2 linked regions of the Alligator mississippiensis genome follow. The protein of the gene in region 1 interacts with the protein of each later gene in a pairwise test. Links are inferred from orthologs where the notes say so. Each region holds a gene or a part of one and is shown on either strand. Other genes may lie near its edges.

What was found. The genes of interacting proteins can lie anywhere in the genome.
Region 2: the proteins of CREB1 (region 1) and TSSK4 interact in binary tests that used the Homo sapiens proteins (3 or more experiments, as listed by UniProt). The link is inferred for Alligator mississippiensis from reciprocal best matches to the Homo sapiens genes CREB1 and TSSK4.

Annotation. Positions count from the first base shown.
Region 1 is NC_081827.1:175,079,411-175,086,809, reverse strand, and holds the start of CREB1 (cyclic AMP-responsive element-binding protein 1), read right to left. Parts: upstream 3,005-7,399; 5' UTR 2,799-3,004; intron 1-2,798.
Region 2 is NC_081830.1:7,858,902-7,866,723, reverse strand, and holds TSSK4 (testis-specific serine/threonine-protein kinase 4), read right to left. Parts: upstream 3,019-7,822; 5' UTR 2,229-3,018; coding exon 2,004-2,228; intron 1,885-2,003; coding exon 895-1,884; intron 671-894; coding exon 452-670; 3' UTR 398-451; downstream 1-397. Other genes in the region: TM9SF1 (transmembrane 9 superfamily member 1), read left to right, coding at 3,762-4,082, 5,004-5,814, 6,461-6,734. UniProt on the Homo sapiens protein: Serine/threonine kinase which is involved in male germ cell development and in mature sperm function. May be involved in the Cre/Creb signaling pathway. Phosphorylates CREB1 on 'Ser-133' in vitro and can stimulate Cre/Creb pathway in cells.

The DNA of each region.
Region 1 (7,399 bases):
GCGCAGCACGGGCATTTATCAGCCAAGTTATCAGTTCAGGCCCCATTAGGCTAATATCCGATAAAGCAAATTTTCTTTATATTGGTACCAATCTGATATCGGACCAATATATCATTTCACTTCTATTTTCTATATAAATTACAATAATCTAAAAGGTCAGTATCGTAGGCTTTGGCCCTGCTGAAGAAAGTACCTGAAGAACGATCACATTTGATCATCTGCCCAACCTGTGAGAGATTTCATTTTAGGGCTCTTGAGCGAGTGGTGGTTGGGGGGGGGAATACAAACTCTACCAGCATTAACCCCTTCTTCCCTCTGAGACATAAAGCCAAGAAGCTACAAGGCTCAAGTGACACCCCTATTTCACCACACTAGAGCCATTATCCAGTAGGGCAGCCAAGACCTAACCTCCAGAGAGATCAGGACATTTTTCTTGCACACTTAGGAGCTCAGTGTTTTCCCAGGGCAAAATTCTCTACAAAATAGTAAAAGGGCATTAGTTTAATTGGCAAAACATGAGTAAAATTTTAAAGCAAACTAAGTTAAGCTTTAGCATTTTTGAGGGATGCCATATTTTAACCAGATATCTTGCAAGACATAAAACTAATGGTCTAGATACCTCTACTCTTCCATCAAGTAGAACGTTTTGGGGATAGAATGGAGCTGTATACCAAGGTGCAAATGTTTATGATCCTGTTTTCTATTAATAAAGGCATATTCCTCCCACCAAGATGGTGACACCTAACAACAGCATGTTGTATTTAAATTTCTATTAGCCAATCCATACTTTGAGGACAAAGTCCACTGCACACGAAAGACAATGGAAACATTAATTGATTTCAGTGGGTTTTGCACCAGGTCTCTCAATTTTAACATTGTGACGTGCTCTTCTACTGTCAAGTTCATCATGCATAAAACAAATGCCATTTGGTTTCCTTTCCAAAAGGAAAAGCAATGGAGCAGTGGCTGTCAATCTTTTTAGACTCAAGGCACCACTCCACAAATGCCAGCTCTTAGCTTTTACTCATTTTTTGAGTATGTAAAAGTAACATAAGGCAACTGTTCTGTTGCAAAGAACTCAGACAACAACAGGTCAGAATATTTGTGACACGATGGATTCCTATTTGAAATCCTTGTGTTCAATCGAGTGAATTGTGTAAATGTTTGCAGACCCAACAGCCTTAGCAGTGTTAGGTGTGCACAGTACTCTCAGCACTCTGGGATACCACAGCACACTACCAGACACAATACAGCAGAATGACAGAAAAGAGACATTCACATACTAAAATCTACCATTTTGCATGTAATTTGGCTTAGGAAAAAAGTTAAATTTGGGATTTCAGTTGTATAAATCTTCTTATAATTCAAAGGCTCCCCCATCTTGCAACTTGATCTAGTGAAGGACTCAGGACTGCAACAGCTCCAAAAAACCCCAACAAAACAAAACCCAACTGCCACCCCACCCCCAACCATCACCCAGTACCTGACGGCAGAGGAAGGTATTGTTTAATCACAAAAAACCTTCAAAACATGGTATTATAAACCTTTATTAGTTATCTCTGCAGGATTGAAAGATGCTCAGTATTTTCAGACTTCTATGCAAGACTTGGGAAACTTGAAGTGTTTTTTTTCCCTAAGAACTTTCTTCATTGCACTGGCTGATGACCAAAGATTTCCCAGGAGCAGCAAGTTGCTGGCAAGAGTTTGTGTTAAAAGGGGAGGTGGGGTAGAAATGGTTTTGAAGAGACCAGTCACATGACTTTGGTCAAACTACAAGCAAAATTCGTTTGAAACCAACTACAAACGTGACAACCATAGGTGTCAAAGAAAAACAAAACAAAACACACAAACGAGAGTGAATAATAAGACTGAAAAGACTGTGCCTTTAAAATGAACAGCACAATATTTTAATATAACGGTAGAGGAGAATGGTGAATTGCACAGCCCTAGCAAGCTGGAAATTGGGGGGGGTGGGGGGGTGGTAATTCCTAGTGTAGAGGTGGGAGAATGAAAAATAAGGGGGGGGCGGCGGGGGGGGGGCGCAAAACGTAGGAAGAGCAGGAGGGCCAGGCCTGCAGAGCCGTTTGCGGGGGGCAGGGAGGGGAAGCCCGGCAGAGCCAAGCCAGCAGCGCCAGCAGCGGGGGAGGCAGCCAGCCAGGCCCTACAGCCCTGGCCGCGTCCAGTTTGCTTTGGGGGAACAAAAAAATAATTAAATAAAAATAGGGGGGAGAGGGGAAAGAAGAAGAAGAAAAAAAAAAAAAGGCAGCAAGCAGCAGAGCAGGCGCGGGGCCGAGATGGGCCGATCCTGCCTTCCCCCGGCAGCGGCGGCGGAGGCGGCCACGGACCCGTCTCGCCGCCGCTGGATCCGCCTGTGCGGGGCCGGGAGGAGGGAGGCGGCGGCTTCGCTTTGAAAAAAAAACAAAGTAAAACGAAACAAAACAACCCCCCACCTCCCCCCAGCCCCGCGTGGCCGGGCCCCGCCGCCCGCGGGGCCGCTCTCGGGAGGGGAGCGGAGCGCAGCGGAGCAGAGCAGAGCGGAGCGGCCCCTCCGGGAGGGAGGGAGGCAGCGGCGGGCCCCGCGGCGGCGCCCCCCCGCAGCCCGAGCGGCCTCGGCCGGGCCGGGCCGGCTCCATCCGCCATTACTCTTTGTTCGCGGCGGCGGCGGCGGCGGGGCTGGTGCCGGGCTCGGCGCGGCTCCATCTTTGAGGCGGGCGATGCAGGCCGGGCCGCGCCGGGCGCCTGGCGCCGGGTCCCCGCCGGCGGCGCCCCCCCCTCGGCCGGGCTCGTCCTCCCCTTACCGGCTCCGCGCGGCTCCGTCACTGCTTTCGTTCGCGCCTCGGATCTCGCCGCAGTTTTATTCTCTCCCCCACGTAACACACCGCGTCAAACTACACCTCCGCCGCGTCACTCACACACACGGGCTCTCCCAGCCCGGCGACAGGCAGGCAGCGGCCGACTGAGGAGCGCCAGCCAGGGAGCAAGCGCCGAGCGCGCCGCGGCCCCGCGCGGAAACGCCCGAGCGCTGCCGGAAACACCCGAGCGCTGCCGAAGGCGGAAACGCCCGAAGGCCTCCCGAAGCGCTTGGGCCGGGGCGGGCCGGGCCGCGCCGCGCCGCGCGCTAGGCGGAGGGGCCCGAAGCCGCACGGAGAAAGCCGAAGCGCGGGGCGCGGGAGTCTCCGAGTGTGCACGGAGATGTCCGAAGTGCGGAGCTGTGCGGGCCCCCGCCGCCCTTGGCTCTTGCACCCCAGCCAGCCTGCCTTCCCACTGCCCTTGGACTCTCGGGGCGTCTGCAGAAAAAATTGGGTTGCCCATCACCATGCCCTAATAAAATCGGAGACCCTCCCCACAGGTTATGATGTATCAGCGGGGCTCTCATCTCTTATGTGGGGCTCAGCCCCTTCCCACCAGCTCCCCAGTAATTCAAACCCTGCTGCCAACTTCCCATGGCTCTACTGCTTGGTTGGCTCTGAAGGCATACACGGGGCTGCCCCCAGGCCCACCTGCCAGGAGCAGGCCCTGTCCCCTCACTCGGCATCTGCCGAATTGGGAAGCTGGGCTGGCAGCAGCCCGCGCCTTGGGCCTGTTTGTCATCACGTGCTTGGGGCTGCTGTAAGGCAGCCATGTTGCATTGGCAATGCGTAGGGGGTGCACACGCACCCCCTGAGATTGGCCGTGCCCCCATCAAGAGAAGCGCTGGTGGTGCTTCTGGGTTTGCCACTGGGCAACCCGCCCGCAGGCTGCTGCAGCAGGGGGAACAGCAGCCCGGCACAGCAGGCAGAGGCAGGTAGATAAGGTTTCTTCTTTGGGGGGAGATCAAGACCCCCACAGTGCAGGAGGGCAGGGGAGGAGTAGGGGCAGGGGCAAATCATTCATCCCCGCCCCTGCCCTGCTCTGTGATGCAGCTGCAGCCTGCCCTTGCTCCGCACAAAGATTGGGGGGCCGGGGGGGTGCTTGGCTCCCCAGTACCACGACTCTGCAGGACCCACTGGGCACTTTCTGGGGATGACTTTAGACAGGGTGGGGCGGGGATCCCAGGGACTCCATCTCCTCTGGCCCAGCGCCACAGCTGGCCGAACCAGTTCCAGTGCAGGAAGGCAGCCAGGGCCAGTGCAGGGCTGGGGGACAGTGGACGCCGGCACCGGTAATGACCCCTGATGTGGGGGAAGGGGTATTTGCATGGGTGCAGTGGACCCCGGCCCCGAGCCCAATCCCTGCCCAGTGCCAGCCCCAGTCTTACTCCCTCCTCCCCATGGCCCCTTCCCCCACAGACTTTTGCGTGGTGGGTAATTACAAGGAAAGCTAACTGTTGCTTTGTGTATATAAGGCCCGTGTTCCCAAAATGCATCGAATAGGCCTATTTCACAGTTCTATAGGCATAGGCAACTGGTGCCTCCTGAGTCCGGGGGGGTCACCCACAGAAGCCGGCAGCAGCAGCTTCAACAGGGCTGGTGAGCACCTGCAGATGCGGCCGGTGGTGGCGGGGATGGCCCTGTCGGGGGGGGGGGGGGGTACATGCCCCTCCCCCCCGTGCTCCCCCTACCAGTTGCGTAGGCCTATAGGTTGTTTTTAATTCATTCCAACGAAGTTATATTTGTTTTTGCTTCAATCTTAAAATGAATAATACAGCCCTAGGCCCCTAGCATATTAGTAAAGCTTCTGGTTTATTTTTAACTGGAGAAAAATGTTTTATTTTATATGTGAGGACGCACCTCGCCATCTGCACTCCCCTTTTCAAAAGTCTAGATCTGCCCATGGGCCGTGTAGACCTGTCATCTCAGGGGTATAGCAGGTCAGTCCCATGCCTTGGGCAACTGTGCGGCCTCTGGGGTAGCTGCAACAGCGCTGAACACGGTGGCGAGATCAGCCACCATTGCAGTCATGGTTATTTTTGTGCCACCTCCCTCCCCAAATTAAGGCAGCCCTTGTGGCATCTGTCTTGGTCACCTCCCCTTAAGTACACTACTATGTTCTCTAATTTCTCATTTTGTTCTTGTTCCCCAAAAATTGTTCTTGGACTCGGTCTCCTTCGTTTGCTTTTACATTCCTGATAACTTAGGTACTCTCATTTTCTGTTTCAATGCTGCTCTCTCTCTCCCCCTTTGGATATCCCTCCCTTTGTACAGCCTTTTGTATCTCCTAAAATTCCTTCTGGATATCCTTTTGCTTCCTCAAACTAAATCAGGCAGAAAGCACATATTTGAGTGCATTTACATGAAACGCTGACTGCGCAGTAGCAGAATAATCTGCGCGGTAGCGTGTCTCAGCACCAAGAGTCCTAAAAAGCTACTGTGCAGTATTATGAGGGTACTGCACAGTAGTGTCACTTAAAAGGTGTTCACTGGTGTTCCTGCGCAGTAACTCCGGTTTCTACACATTTATTTAGTACTTTTTATACTGCGTAGTAGCATTTCATGTAGACATGTCCTTAGTTTACCAAATCATCTCTGCATCCCAATATTTTTATTGCTACTGGGTGCATCTATACAAGATGCCAGAAGTACAGTAGACTAAAGCCATGCGAAAGCCATGCTAACGCATTAACGTGCAGTAGAATTAGTCTACTGAGCATTAGTATCACCCAAAAGACATGCGCCAACGCTAATGCACAGTAGCACCGATTATGGCACATTAAGTTCATACCTGTTATTACAGGTACTAATATTACCTGTTATTACCTGTTATTACATTAAGTTAGTACCTGTTATTACAGGTACTAAACTTAATGTGCCATAATTACAGCATGTTAATGCATATGTAAATGTGCCCACTGAGAATTACTTTATATCTTTAAGACAAGGTTCTTTGGGTAAATCTGATATCTTTTATTAGACCAACTTAAATAGTTGGAAAACAATTATTGTTTTCCAACTATTTAAGCTGGTCTAATAAAAGATATCAGATTCACCTAAAGAACCTTGTCTGCCTATGTCCTTAGACCAACACGGCTACAACCTACACCCCTGTTTATATCTTTAAGACTCAACAGTTAATGCAAAATCTGTCAGTAGATCTCGGCTGCCACAACAATCAACACTCTCCACTACAAAACCATCAGAATCCATGGATCAGACATATGATTATCCCAAAATGTGGAATACCTCATCCACTGCCCTCATGGAAACTATATGGGTGAAACCAGACAAAAACTGTGCAGCAAAATTAATGACCACAGAGAAAAGATAAAGGACAGAGACATTAGAACTCAGGTAGTAAGACAACATTTTTCATAGGAAAATCACTCTGCTTCTGACCTTGTAGTTCTAGTGCTCAGGGTAATTCCCCCCCAAATCTTTACAAAGTGAGTGTGTGAACAGAAATTCATCAGCCTATTGGACACTAACCACCAGGAGGCAAAGACTTAATGGCCCATTATAATTGTCCTGATACCCCTAACCCCTGCACTTCACAGGTGATAATGATCCTATTTAACAAGCTTTTGTTCCATCTGATACTTGGCTCAGTCATGTCTGCTTCTGTCTCAGTCCTGGGGAAGGGTGCTGTGATACTTGAATGCTTACCTATGGTTCTGTCAACCATACAGTTGGTCCATTAAAAAATGTCACCATAAGAATTCTTGACTCTTGAATTATTTCTCTCTTAAGAAAATGTTGGCTCTTTGCCACTTTATTTAATTCAACCTTCTCTTTGTCACTTTGAAGATCCTGCACAACTCTGTTCCAGCCACATCTAAACACCTTATGTTTTTCTCACTCTCCTCTTTGTTACTTCCACTGTCAGCTTTACCTACAATTGTATTTTGTGTTTTTCTCCATCCTCCCCAACATTGCACTGACTCTACCTTGAATAGTTTCAACAATTCTTACTTATCTTTCAAATTTCCCTTCCTTCCAAAGCCTGCTTCTGTCATTTTTTTTGCTGCTGACCTTGATTCCTGACATGCTTGTTCTTCTCTGCTCTACCTTATCCTTAACACTGGAACATAAACGCTTCTTGCACAAAATTATTCCAATGTCTTTCAGTATTTTCAGCCTTTACGATTCACTTCCCTATTTATGTTGTTATCTTTCCCATGTATAATTTTCTGATTTAGGCTATAGTCCTTCAAGATTATTCAAGAGCAAGGGCAACTGCTTTTACCTCCATCCTGAATTGGAGCTCAGGTAGTAAATCCTTTTGGCTAGGGACCTTTCTTTTTATTTTTGTAAAGCATCTTAAAAAATTAAATAGATAATAATAAAAAAAGAACGTGCCTCAAAATAATAGAAAATAATAACCGGAAGTTGTAACTGCAAAATCAGTTAGTACTCTAATAACTTGATGTAGTGCCCTGAAAGCTTAGGTCAATAGTGTTAATAGTTTTCCAACTATTTGAGTTGGTCTAATAAAAGATAATCAGCATTGGTGATGCGTAAGGGCTGCATGCGGGTGCACGTGTAGC
Region 2 (7,822 bases), on another chromosome or scaffold:
GCTGCGTCCCCAGAACACTACAGGTGCCTTTGTGGGGGGGGCACGATGAGGGGCCATACTGCTTGTTGGGGGCTGCTCTTAGCCCCCTCATCTACTCAGGGGCCTTGTATTGCAGGTTAACCCTTTCCTTGCTGCCTTTAAATAGGGGCTTCCTCTGCACCCCTCTCGGTGCTGATTGTGGGGGGGAGGCAGGGCGGAGGCGTTGTTGGGGGAGCTTTGTTTCCTGGGTGGGTTTATTGGGGTTCAGGCTGGGGGAGATTCCAAAGCTCCCCCCCCGCCGGCTGAATAAACTCGGTGAGGATCTCTGTGGCTCTGTGGTGGCTCCCAGTGCCGTGACACAGTGGGGGGCTCCCCTCAGCAATGGGGCCCCCAGTGAGGGCAGAGCTAGTTTTGGGGTGTCTTCCCCCCCAGCTGGCTTTCTCAAAAGCATTGGTGGCCTTGAGGGGCCCGACTAGCCCACCTTCTTCTTGTCGGACGGCCCAGCAGCTGAGGGGGCTTTTGTTGGGGGTCCGCTGGCCCCTGTCCCTGTCCGGCCTCCCCAGGCAGTCTCAAGGGCATGCAGCTCTGCTGGGGGGCGCTCAACCTGGAAGCGCAGCACCCAGGGGCTCTGCAGCAGCTCTAAGGTGCTGAAGCGCCGGGCTGCTTCCCGCAGTAGGTGCTGGATCAGGTCCTATGGGGGATGGGGGGCAGTAAGAGGGCACCCCTGGTGTGGGGGGTACCCCCTGCCTCACCCCCTTAAGGACCTGGATCTGTTCTACTCTCCCATACACCCTGCTGGCCCCCCAGAGCCCTTTGCCCGATTTCGTGCCCTGAGCACTCCCTTACTGCCCCCCAACACACACACTCTCCCAGTTCCCCATGCAGGATTTCCTGCCCCCTGACTGTGGTGGGTACCTTGCAGTCCTCGGGCACTGAGGGCTGGGCGGGGAAGACGACATCACGCTGGGTGTCACGCAGTAGGCGCTTGAGGTTGGTGTCATCAAAGGGCAGGTGGGCGACCAGCAGTGTGTAAAGGATGACTCCCAGGCTCCAGACATCAGCCAGGAAGGGGTCGTAGGGCATCCCCAGCAGGATTTCAGGGCAGGCGTAGGCAAAGCTACCGCAGTAGGTCTGGCTCAGGAGCGCTGGCACAGCTGCAGCCCCGTCCCCAGCCAGGACCAGCCCAGAGCCCCCGCTCATGGCCCGTGCGAACCCGAAGTCTGACACCTTGATGTTCTCCTGCTTGTCCAGAAGCAGGTTCTCCAGCTTCAGGTCCCTGCAGGGTAATGGGCAGGGGGTGATGGGTACTTGGGCCATGGGCCTCACTGGAAGGAATGGATGGCGCACGAGATAGTGATGGGCACAGGGGCAGAGGGCAGGCCAGTAAGGGGTGCAGGGACCAGGGGGTGATGGGCATTGCAGGAATGGGCAGGGGGTATAGGCACGGGCCATGAGCATCACGGGGGTAATGGGGAACAGGGCAGTGATGGGCACTAGGGGTAGGGGGTGATGTGAGGCACCTGAGAGGGATGGGAACAAGGAGATGTGAGTTGGAAAGGGGTGATGGGGTACTGAAGCAGGGTGGGGGAGTGCACCTGGGGAGCAGAAGGTGGGTGGTGACGGGGGACCTGGGTGCTGGTGGCATGGAAATGCCGTGGGGCTGGGGGCTGCCAGGGACAGGTGGGCGCACCGGTGCACGATGCTTTTGCTGTGCAGGTAGGCCACAGCCAGCACGAGCTGGGCAAACCAGCGGCCGGCAAGGCCCTCAGCGCAGGGCCCCGCACGCTGCACCCGCTCCAGCACATCGCCACCTGGTGCCAGCTCCATGGCGATGTAGTGGCGCGACGTTGTCTCGATGGCCTGGTAGAAGATCACCAGGTGCTTGTGGCGCAGCCCCTTCATCACCTGTGGGTGATGCCCATGCACTGGGTTAGTGGGGCAGGGTCTAGCTCTGCCCTGCCTCCTGGTGGGCCTTGCCCCCTGGCTGGGCCCAATCCCTGCCCCTGGTGCAGGAACGGGTGGACCTGGATTTCGCGGGGTAGAAACTTGTTGAGGTAGTCCTCTGAGGCCTTCTTTTTGGAAATGATCTTGACGGCCACCTTGGTCTTCTGCTTGACGAAGTAGGCCTCATACACAACGCCGTAGGAGCCGTGGCCAATGACGCGGCCCAGCTGGTAGCCGTACTGGTCCATCACTGACAGGTAGGGGGTTGAGCCCCCTGCCGCCTCCGCCCCCTTGGCCCCCCGCATGGCACCAGCCCCCCGCCGCGGCTCCAGGGGCTGCGGGCCAGCGCGACTGCAGGCGGGTGCGCTGCGGGAAGCCAGTGCCCTGAGAAAGCGGATGGGCAAGGGGGGAGGTCAGCGTGCCCAGGACCCCACATAGGGGACCCCCATCAGCCCCCCGCCCAGTAGGCCATGATCCCCTCTCTCCTGCCGCCTTCCACCAATCAGCAAGGAGCCCACCTGGGCCCTGCCGCTGCCCCTGACTTGCTGACCTGGAATCACACCCCTAAGCTGGTGACATCACAGTGCTCCCCAACAATCCAGGCACCCCCATTGGCTGGAGCCAGTCACCAGGGTGATGGGGAAGGGGGGGGTCTCTTCCCCTTCTTCCTCTGGAGCATTCCCTTTGTGGGGGAGCATCATCTCAGTGGGGGGAACTGGGGGGCATTGGGGAGCTGCCCATGCCCCACATGGGGGGGTGATTTGTGGGTGTTCATATATTGGGGCCACTAGGGAATGGGGGTTCAGCTTGGGTCACCCAGAACCCCCCATTTTGGAGAGCTGCTAGAGGCCCCCCTTCCTCCTCTCAGAAATAGGGACCTGGCCCTTTAAGGCCTCCCACCGCCTTCTGTGCACAGTGCCCTTTAAGGCGGCCCCAAAGGCGGGAGAGAGGGACGGCCGCAGCGGAACTACGTCAGGGGTGGACATGAAGGCCAGGCCGGGCACTAAGGGCGGAAGTAGCGGGTGGACGTGGCTAGGGCTGACCTGGCCGTCGCCTGAAGGTCCCCACAACTTGTCGCTCTTGGTTCCGGCCGGGGGGGCAGTTCTCCGGGGAAGGGCCGACGTCCGCTTGTCGGGGGACCCTCCGGGAAGCCGAGCAGGGGGTTTGGAAGCGTCTGAGCCGGAGCAGGGGGGCGCCGGAGGTCAGGCGTTGTGACAGGCAGCCGCGAGCCAGCGAGGCCCCCAGGCTGGTCGGTGCTGCCTGGCTGGTCGGCTGCTTCTGGGGACTCCCGTCGGCTGGGCGCGGGGCCCGGGCCTCCAGGCAGCAGGCACCGCCGGGGCAGCCGGTGAGCGAGGACCCCTGGGCGGCGGGGGGCCGGGGGGCGAGACCCCAGGATGCCCCAGGCGTGGGGGGCACCTCGGGCAGGAGTGCGAGGACCCTGGTTGGCATGACCCTGGTCAATGGCACTAGCACAGACGCCTAGGCTGGGGGTGCAGGGACCCCAATTTGGCATGACCCTCCTCCAGGCACTGGGGTGGACACCTTGGGCAGGCCAGCATGGCCCCACCCCTGGGACGGGTGCTCTGGGCAGGGGTGCAAGGACCCCAGGTTGACATGACCCAGCGGTGGTCCAGGCACTGGGGGGCGGGGGCACCTTGGGCAAAGACATGAAGTCCCCGGTGGTCGCTGAGCACCTGGGATGGGGTCCTGGGGCTGCCACCGCTTTGACCCGTCTCTGCGGGCACCTGTGTTGGCGGGGCGGGGGCGGGTCGCAGGAGTCCAGGCTCTCACTCCCTCCCACTTCTCTCCAGTTTCCCAACTTCCTCAGTGCAGGCCCCATGGCATCCCACCACCCCTGCGTGCCCCTGCTGCTCCTCCTGCTGGGGACCTGCCCACTGCCGGGGTCCTCGGAGGCCCAGTACAAGCCGGGGGACCCAGTCATGCTATACGTCAACAAGGTGGGGCCCTACCACAACCCTCAGGAGACCTACCACTACTACCAGCTGCCTGTGTGCTCCCCCGAGAAGATCCGGCACAAGAGCCTGACTCTGGGGGAGGTGCTGGATGGCGACCGCATGGCCGAGTCCCTCTATCAGATCCGCTTCCGGGAGAACGTGGAGAAGAGGACCCTGTGCGAGATGAAGCTCAGCCCTGACCAGGTAGCCCCGTATGGATGCCTGGCTTCCAGCTTAGTATTGGCTGAGGCGCGGGGTGCACGCTTTGGCTAGGGGCGTGAAGACGCCAGCTTGGTGTGATCTCTGCCACCACCAAGGCACTGGGGTGGGCACCTCAGTTAGGTGTGCAAGGACCCCAGGTTGATGTGACCCTGTCCCAGCCAAGGCACTGAGGTTGACACCTTGAGTAGGGATGTGAAGGCCCAAGCTTGGTGTGACCCCTGTCATAGCCAAGGGCCTAGGGTGCATGCCTCGGATTGGGGTTCAGGGACCCCAGGATGGCTGAGATGCTGGGGTAGACTCTCAGCTAGAGGTGTAAGGACGCCAGGTGGGTGTGACCCGAACCCAGCCAAGGCACTGGTGTAGACATCTTGGGTATGGGCATGAAAACCCAAGCTCAGCGTGACCCCTGCCATGGCCAAGGCACTGGAGTGAGCTCCTCAGTTAGGGGTTCAAGGACCCTAAATTAGCATGACCCCACCATAGTTCAGGCACTGGGGTGGGCACCCCAGGCAGGGATGTGAAGACCCAAGCTCAGCGTGACCCCTGCCATGGCCAAGGCACAAATGGATGCCTTGGATAGGGGTTCAAGGACCCCAGGATGACCAAGGTGCTGGGATAGACTCTAAGATAGGGGTGCAAGGACCCCAGATTAGCATGACCCCACCATAGTTCAGGCACTGGAATGGACATCTCAGGGGTGTGAGGACCCCAGGTTGGCATGACCCCACAAGTCTTGTTCTGGGGAGCCCAGCCCAGATGCCCGGGTTCTGGGGCCACCGGGGTGGGGGGTGAGATGGGACATCTGGGCCCTAGCCAGGGGTCTGGGAGGAGAGGGAACCTGGGGCATTAGAGTGGGGGATGCTGGGAGCCCAGATGCCTGGGTCCTCACCCTGCCCCCGACAGGTGGCGCAGCTCCGCCGGGCCATCGAGGAGCTCTACTACTTCGAGTTCGTAGTGGATGACCTGCCTCTAAGGGGCTTCGTGGGCTACATGGAGGAGAGCGGGTTCCTGCCCCACAGCCACAAGGTGGGGCTCTGGACGCACCTGGACTTTCACCTGGAGTGGAACGGCAACCACATCGTCTACGCCAACGTCAGCGTGAGGGACGTCAAGCCCCGCAGCCTGGATGACCTGGCCGGGCCAGGTCCCTTCCCCATGGCCCACACCTACAGCATCCGCTGGTCAGAGACGGCCACTGAGCGCCGGGGCGAGCGGCATGGCCGGGGTGGCGACGACGCCTTCTTCCCCCGCACTTTGGAGATCCACTGGTTGTCCATCATCAACTCCATGGTTCTGGTCTTTCTCCTGGTGGGCTTCGTGGTGGTCATCCTCATGAGGGTCCTCAAGAATGACCTGGCCCGCTACAACCTAGACGAGGAGGCTTCGACCTCGGCTGCAGCCGACGACTACGACCAGGGGGACAACGGCTGGAAGATCATCCACACCGACGTCTTCCGCTTCCCGCCTTGCCGCGGCCTGCTGTGCGCTGTGTTGGGCGTGGGCAGTCAGTTCCTGGCCCTGGGCACCGGCATCATCGTCATGGCGTTGCTGGGAGTCTTCAATGTTCACCGCCACGGTGCCATCAACTCAGCCGCTATCTTGCTCTATGCCCTCACCTGCTGCGTGGCTGGCTACGTCTCCAGCCACTTCTACCGGCAGCTGGGGGGTGAGAGCTGGGTGTGGAACATCGTGCTCACCACCAGCCTTTTCTCTGGTGAGGAGAAGGCCCTCTGCCCCCTCATAGTTTTTACAGTCTTGGGGTGGGGAGGTCTGTGTGTGGGGGGCACCTCTATGACTCTGGAGGATGGTGGAGTGGACCATCTGGACCCACTTTGGGAGTCTCAATGATACCCGGGGTGGGGGTTGCAGTGCTTCACTCAGGAGTGTCCGTGATCTTTTGGTGGAGGTGGAATGGATCCATCTGGCCTCCCTTGGGGCATCTCTCTGGTTCCCAGAGGATGTGACGTGGGTCTGTCTGGCCTCCCTTGCAGGGTCTCTTTGGTCCCCATAGGATGTGCGGTTGGTCTGTGTGGTCTCTGTAGGGGTTGGTGTGTATGGTTCCTGGAGGATCTGGGATGGGTCTGTGGCCTGTCTTATGATGGCTTTCTGTGGGTCCCAAAAGATGAGGGATGGGTCTGCCTGGCCATCCTTGAGGCAACTCTGTGGTCCCTGGAGGATGTGATATGGGTTTGCCTGGCCTCCCTTGAAGGGTCTCTGTGGTCCCCAGAGGATGTGGGGTGGTGGTATCTGGTCCTCCCCTTAGCAGGGTTCCTCCATGGCCAGGGTGGGACTCTTCAGTCACTTTTGGGGCATCTCGGTGGTCTCGTCCTTGCCCTGACCCCGTCTCTCCTCACTCCCAGCCCCCTTCTTTTTGACGTGGAGCGTGGTCAACTCGGTGCACTGGGCCAATGGCTCCACACAGGCCCTGCCAGCCACCACCATCTTGTTGCTGCTGAGTGTGTGGCTGTTGGTTGGCTTCCCCCTCACCGTCATCGGGGGCATCTTCGGCAAGAACCGCGCCGGCCACTTCGACGCACCCTGTCGTACCAAGAACATCGCCCGGGAGATCCCGCCCCAGCCCTGGTACAAGTCCACCCTGGTGCACATGACCATTGGTGGCTTCCTGCCCTTCAGGTGAGCCCTCCCTTCCTGTCTGCTACCCTGCTGAGGAGAGGGAGGGGTGGGGGGGACTGCCCAGGCAGCGCCCCCCCTTCCATGATGGCCTTAGGCAGAGGCGGCCCAGGGCTCTCTGTGGTCCTCTGACCTGGGCTGGATCCTTGGAGGGTCTCCATGGTGCCCGGCTCCTCCATGTCCTGTCCCCTACACCAGTGGGCCAACTCTTGGCTTTCCTGAATGAGGATGCTTGTTGCCAGTCCCCTAGACAGGAAATAGGGATGCTATGTCATCATTTATCCCAAGGGTTTTCAGCCTTTTTTAGTCAAAGTATCTTGGTGGCCAGATGCTGACTGGCAGGGGGGTTGTGGGGGGCGGGTAGCTTGCAGCTGGATGCTGAGGGGGAAAGCGGGGGGCAGGGTGCACGGCTGGACATGGAGCAGGGAGGCAGAGATGGCACATGGGCAGGTGGGGACAGAGTGCCACCACCTCCCAGGAGTCAGGGCAGGGCGGGGAAGCTCATCGGGCTGGTATGCAGCAGCGGCCACCACATGTGAGGTTCCCCTCCCCACAGAGGGATGCCCCTGCCCTCGTTCTGCCCCGGCCCTGCTCCTGGGACGCGGCAGCACTCCGTCCTCTCCTGCCCACGCATACCCCCTAGGACCAGTCCAAGTACCCCTAGGGGTATGCATGGCCCTGGCTGACAACCCCTGATCCATCCAAGTAGGTAGGAGGGAAACAAGAAGTAGATTGTGCTGAGTAAGTGACCTCATTGTCCCTCCACACAGGAAGGAGGAAGAGGGGAAGTGGATGGTGCCAAGGAAATAGGAAGTAGACAAACAGGATGCTATCTGAAAGAATGATGATGTAACTTTCTTGGCACAATCACTTCCTGTTTCTCCCCTCCATGTTTGCTGTCACTTCCATGGCACAAACCACTTCCTGTTTGCCTTTTTCTTTCCCACACGGATGATGTCACTTCCTTGGTAGGATCACTTCTTGTTTCTCTTCTGCTTCTCCAAAGGGACAATGAAGTCTCTCTGGTGGTGGGATGATGTCACTTGCTTGGCACATTCCACTTCCTGTTTCCCCCTTGCTGCATGACAGTG